Linked DNA regions of Tribolium castaneum. The protein of the gene in region 1 binds, or shares a complex with, the protein of each later gene. Links are inferred from orthologs where the notes say so. Each region holds a gene or a part of one and is shown on either strand. Other genes may lie near its edges.

The links. Proteins that work in one complex are often made in the same cells at the same time.
Region 2: the proteins of orb (region 1) and peptidyl-prolyl cis-trans isomerase NIMA-interacting 1 are in contact, whole or in part, in an NMR structure (PDB 2N1O), measured with the Homo sapiens proteins. The link is inferred for Tribolium castaneum from reciprocal best matches to the Homo sapiens genes CPEB1 and PIN1. Residues at the interface, in NP_001352172.1 of Homo sapiens: Arg206, Ile207, Ser208, Pro209, Pro210, Leu211, Pro212, Phe213; in NP_006212.1 of Homo sapiens: Arg17, Tyr23, Ser32, Gln33, Trp34, Glu35.

The regions. Positions count from the first base shown.
Region 1 is NC_087400.1:9,088,809-9,092,308, forward strand, and holds part of orb (cytoplasmic polyadenylation element-binding protein 1), read right to left. Parts: intron 1,834-3,500; coding exon 1,692-1,833; intron 1-1,691.
Region 2 is NC_087394.1:12,589,712-12,592,480, reverse strand, and holds peptidyl-prolyl cis-trans isomerase NIMA-interacting 1, read left to right. Parts: upstream 1-1,331; 5' UTR 1,332-1,434; coding exon 1,435-1,489; intron 1,490-1,542; coding exon 1,543-1,746; intron 1,747-1,795; coding exon 1,796-2,016; 3' UTR 2,017-2,269; downstream 2,270-2,769. UniProt on the Homo sapiens protein: Peptidyl-prolyl cis/trans isomerase (PPIase) that binds to and isomerizes specific phosphorylated Ser/Thr-Pro (pSer/Thr-Pro) motifs.

The sequences.
Region 1 (3,500 bases):
AATAAGTATTATAAATACTTGAACACATTTCGAAAAATTAAGAAAATTACATTATTTTGTCCGTCTTGTTAGAGTAGTGGTTCCCAACCTTTAAAATTCAGTGAACCACCTAAACAAAAGTATGATGTGTCCTGGACCCCTTTACAAAAAATATATCCAAATGTCGATAATTCGTTTATTAGTGGTTTACAAAATTAACTGTTGTTATTATAATTTTAATTAAACTGATTAATTAAAATTAATTAGATCTTTGTGCTTGCAATTTATTTACTACCTAAATCTGAAATTCTAGCAATGATACTGTTTGTTTCAGTTTGTTCTTGGGAACAAGTAGATTTGAAAATCTAATATTTAGGCTCGTTTTTTAATTAGGCATTTATGATGATGAATTTGCAGACCACATTCATGTTAGAGGGTCTGTTTTGGGGCAAAAAAAATTTGTCAAAAATTTATGTGCTTATAAAAAGGCGAGAACTTTTCAACAAAAATGTGCAATTTTTTTTTGGCGAAATTGCCCCACTGAACAAGTCATTGTTTTCTGTTTTTCAAAAGGCTAAGCACATTTTTCAGTTAAAAATTCACTGTCCAGTGACCAACAGTTTACCAGTGAAGGCAGAAAATTGTAAGTTTTGTCAAAAAATTTGATCAAAATCGAAGTTTTTTTGACCTGTTTATACAGGGTGCTCAACAACTGGCGCACCAACTCAGTGGTACATTATTGAGAAGCAAGTGCAGATTACGGGAAAAATGTTGAAAAAAGTCATATTTTAAAAAATCTGGAGCTACAAACTTATTTTGTTAACTTCTTCAGTTTTCATTATTTTTTTATGTTTTCATGTATCATACCAGGTAATCGTTCCGTAACAAAACGATGAATAATTATTTTTAAATTTACTATCAGATTTTAGCAGTTTTTTTAACTTAAAAAAATTAAAATTCATCCAAAAAATCACAATTTGTAGATGTGGCAACACAGGGAATTATTTCCTAGGAAACCGTTTCAAAAATAATTTATTTTTATTGTTGCTCAAATTCTATTGCGATCATGACTGTTAGACAACGTTGCCACATATCATTTATCTAAAATCCGTTATTTATCAATAACTGTAATACAATGAATTTTTTTACTATTTTTAGCTTTATGTTTAACCAGTTCTCTACCACACACCATTGAGTTGGTGCGCCATTTTTTGAGCACGCTGTAGTGAATTTACCAAATGAGGCCGAAAATGACATGATTTTTGCCCTTTTTGTTAGATTTATCTTTTCTCTAATCGAAAAAACGGACTAACTTTGTGGAATTTCGCTAAAAAAAAACAACTAAACTACATTGATATTGACATTCTTTTGGGCTGTTTAGTGTGACTAAGTTTTTTTTTTTCAAAAAGAAACTCGTTAAAACACTGAATTTTAGTCCATTAAAGTATAGCTTTCCAAAAAATGCTTAAATACATTTTTAATGTTAAACTCAAATACCAAACTAAACCTACTGGAAAGATTTCGTTAAAACACCATCTAATTCTGTTGAAAATAAACAATGTTGAAAAAACATTTTTCTTGCCAAATTTTGTTAAAATTTATTAATGATGGTAGAAATTGGCGTTTTAAAAATCACAAATTAAGGTCGCAAATTAATGTTTTTTCACTTTAGAATTTTGTAAAAACTGGTTCTTGTTGCATTCCATACTCACCCATAAAATTATTGTACATTTGTTTGTTTTTATTAGCGATGTCTAATAAAATATCATGTTGATCCAACAAAGAATTAATAGAATGGCGTTGTAAAATATCACTTCCGACAACTGGTCCATTTGTAAGTAATGATGAAGCCACCTGAAGCAAAAAATACAAATACTTATTATAAGAAAAGTAAGTAAGTGAGTAATTCAAAAATATTGTTTTGTGTAGAATTAAAACAAGGATAGCTAATGAGAGTTGCAATAATTTGCATTGAAATGATGTTAAGATCTCGCTCCGAAATGAGGGCTTTTCCAAAATAATGAATGTGTATTACAAATACAATAGATGACATCAATCGAGTCAAATGGTTTTGTCCTCTTGCCAGAACTGGGATATTAAGCAATATTACTGTATTACGTGTTCAATGTAATGCAAAATTATTGTCAAGAGTATCGTAGAAAATAATTGCGAAAATATTTAATTCATACAATGCGTCCCATTGACACGTAAATTAAACGAACCATTTTGGGAGAAGTGGAATGAAACTTTTCGGTAACAGTGAGTGCATAACGTTTGGCGATAAATCACTGAGAAATGAGGAAAACCAGTAAAATCGCTTTCGACATAACTCAGGAAGAACATAAATATTGTTACGTCTATTGTTCAAAATTTTTAATCTTTTCCGCATTATTTTTAAGTTTCAAGTTACGAATAAAGAAGTAATTGTAATAATTTGTATAATTTTCCTTTAATTAATCATCTTTTGTTATCTGCATATAGAGCTGTTCGGGGTTTCCTTTTTTAATTTTTAACTGGATTTTTTTATGAAAAACCGATTCTCAGTAAACGATTTTTTATACAGGGTAATCCAGGGGTGTGTCATCGGTCTATAACTTTTTTGCTATTTAAAATATTGCTAAGCCGTTTTCAATATCGGATAGACTTTAAGTACACCAATTTTTGAAAAATCGCTGCCAAGTTACTTATGAATACTTTCCGATAAATTTTCAACAGAAATACTCAGAATATCCTCTTATTTTAGCAATAGTCTACTTTTACGCGAAACACGCGGTAATGTACAGGGTGCGGCATTTTGGATGTCCGAATAGGAAAAACGAGTGACAGATTCCCAGGACCGTTTTTTGAGATAATAATTTTGGTCAAAAGCGGATCTTGATATCGTCTTTTGTTTTCGACTTATATACAAAAGTTGACATTTTAGAGAAATATTAAAAAAACCATACCTTTTTTTATAATAAAAGATACATACTTGAAACAAAAACTTTTTTACAGAGAGTCTAATAATGTTATCAGCGATTTTTTTCAACCATTCGTTTAATTGTAATAACATTTTGTATTGTCTTAAATAGGAATCATAGGGGGCCGTGATATTTTGAAAAGTTAATTTTTTTCTGATTGGATATGTCTATTTGTGTACTACATTATTTTTAAATATTTAAAAAAAACATAACATTTCGCTTTTTCTTTATAGTAGGCCATGAAAAAATTTTGGATTTTCAATTAAAAATATGAAAAATACATTACCTAACACTAATTAATTTAAAACCGCATAATAAATTATTATTAAATATTTTAAATATATTTTTTTATCAAAAGTATATAAAAATATCAAACTGTATTTATATTGTTTCCAGATCAGAAAAAATAAGCTTTTCGAAAATGTCATAGCCAACCATGAGTCCTATTTAAAAAAAATAAAACTAAGTTATTACAGTTAAACGAATGGTTGAAAAAAATGATAACATTATTAGATTTTCTGTAAAAAAAGGGTCTGTATAATGTCTTTGTTTCAAATGTGT
Region 2 (2,769 bases), on another chromosome or scaffold:
AGGAGTTTTAGCGATTTCTCTAATTTTAGTACAAAAATTTCGTAGTATATGATTTCGGCATTCAATTTTTTTAATAAAATAATTAGGCCCGTATGGTCTTGCATTACGAATTTTTTTGTAGACGCTACTATCACCATCTCCTATGAGGTTTTTAAATCTTACGTTATGCATGTCTACTGATTTTTTAAATCCATCCAAAATAATTGCTGCTTCCATTGAAGTTGAAGTGTTTTTCCAATTTTTAAAACATTTATGAGGGGGCGTCGTTTGGTTTTTTTTCTTATAATACATACATTTTTTACAATTTTTATTTTTAACTCCCACGTATAAAATTTTTTTAGTCCTTGCACCGACTATTGTTGCAACACCAGAAGATGCGTTATATTTTAAAGAAATACACAAAATTTATATAATGTAAGAGTAACGCAGCTATATCTTCGCAAGCTAGTTATAGAAAAATTGTATAAATTTAATAAAAAAACGAGAAATAATTCCTAAATTCTAAAATAATACATAATTATAAAAGTATCATTTATTTTACAAGGCGTAACGTAAACAAATTATATCCCTAAGACTGGATCTTACAATCTCTCGATACGTTATTTGTACTATAATTATTACTGGGTATAGTTAGAATAAATTTTTACAACAATGTATTTTTCAGAATTTATTACCTGGATAAAATTATCAGACGAAAAAGCGGGTTTAATGAAGTTTTCATCATTTTAATGAGATATTCCTAGTAACTTTTTTAAAGTTAAACTGTTTTCTGAAAGAACAATAATGTTTCACCAATTAATTTTTTTATTTTATATTTTTTCAATGCAAGTGATCCAATTAGAAATGCACATGACACATAATATAGCGAACAGAATTCGGTTAATTAAAACATAAAACCCAATAAATAAATGGTGTAATGGTGTATTATTTTTTACAAAACTATGCTAGTATTTTATTATTCTTTAGTATCAAATTTTTTTAACAAAATAAAAAACGTCTTTTTTACTGTATGTTGCTTGAATCTCTGAAATAAGAGAAACTATCGTGGGCGATAGTGGAATTCAGTTTGTTTACATTATTTGCATTTTATGAGAAGGGACAAGACACCCCGAGGCGAAGGTCGGATGCCTATCCGATGATTGACAGCTGTCACTGAAAACAGGTCTAAAAAAGTATGCAACTTGTAGTACACCAATTCTCAACAATCGCTTCGGTACCCTGAAGCCTTAAGAGAAGTTTGTGTTTTTCAGTTTTTCTCAATATTGAACGTCTTTAGTGTTGGCAACCAACCATACAATCGCTTATTTTGTTGGTGTGAAAGTGGTTTGTGTCCGGGTATTTCCGGAAACTGAAGGAGCTAACTCGTGTAGCTGTCTTCACAGAAATAAAGCCTCGAGTGAAGTTAGCCGATAAATAAACACGCATTCTAGGAAAATGGCGGACGAACAGTTGCCTACTGGGTGGGAAAAGCGGTTAAGTCGGTCAACCGGTAATTCGGTTAAGTTTTAATCATTCTCCCTTGACTCAAAACGTGTATTTTAGGCCAACACTACTACCTGAACGTTTACACCAAAGAGTCCCAATGGGACGTTCCCGACAAACCGGCAGAACCTGTGTCTTCGAGCGGCCCCGAACAAGTCCAGTGCTCACATTTACTCGTCAAACACAAAGACTCGCGAAGACCGTCCTCTTGGCGAGAGGAGAACATCACAAGGACTAAAGACGAAGCCTTGGAATTAGTCAAATGTGAGTGTTTTTGGCCAAGAAATGTCACCACTTTTGAACGTTTTTTCAGCGTATCGCGAACAAATCGTCCAGGGCAAGGCCTCGTTTGCTGACTTAGCCTCAAAGTACTCGGATTGCTCGTCTGCTAAACGAGGGGGCGACCTTGGCTCGTTCAAACGGGGGGCCATGCAGAAGCCCTTTGAGGAGGCGTCGTTTGCGCTCAAGGTTGGGGAGTTGTCAGAACCTGTCTTTACCGATTCGGGGGTGCATATTATTCTGCGTACTGTTTAGATTTGTACTCTTTCTAGACCATTTTTACATTTATTATAAGTTCATTCATGTTCTTTCAGGTCTTGTTAACGTAATTTATGATGCATCTATGCCAAACAAATTCATATTTATATATATTGCGATGAGATTGGAGCTGTAAATTTAGTGTAAATTTCTTTTATATTGTACTTTTTACTTATTAATGAGGTAACTTATTCCTGATACTTTTGTTATTTTGTTTATGCACAATAAAGAGCCCTAAGCACTCCTGTTAGCCCGGATTTTATTCCAGAATCAAAAGTAAAACATTTGCTAAGATGCAAGCATAATACAAGTGAGGATGAGAAGATTTAAATCAATAATAGGTAATAACTATCTTTTATTTTCAAAGTGCCTTTCGCGTAGTTACAATAGTTCGAAACTACTAATACACACAGATTTTTTTACACAAAAAGTATTGTTGCAACGTTTTGCTTGTACACCATTAAATTTTATTGAGATTACTTCAAACCAGGATGTAGTCTTTCAGACGAACCGATCGGTATCGTAAATATCTTTTGGTCACCGTTGTCGAAACATCTTATTTTGAGGATTGTTTATCATAAACAGCATTAACTGCTGTAAAACGTTATGGTGTAACTACAAAGAAAACGATGCTTCAATAATAATCAATACAGGGTCTTCCACGTAATTTTACAAGGCCTGCGCCTGTAAAATGCAATCAACAATACATATTCCAATACGAACTCGATTACAAATTTTGAAAGATTGGAT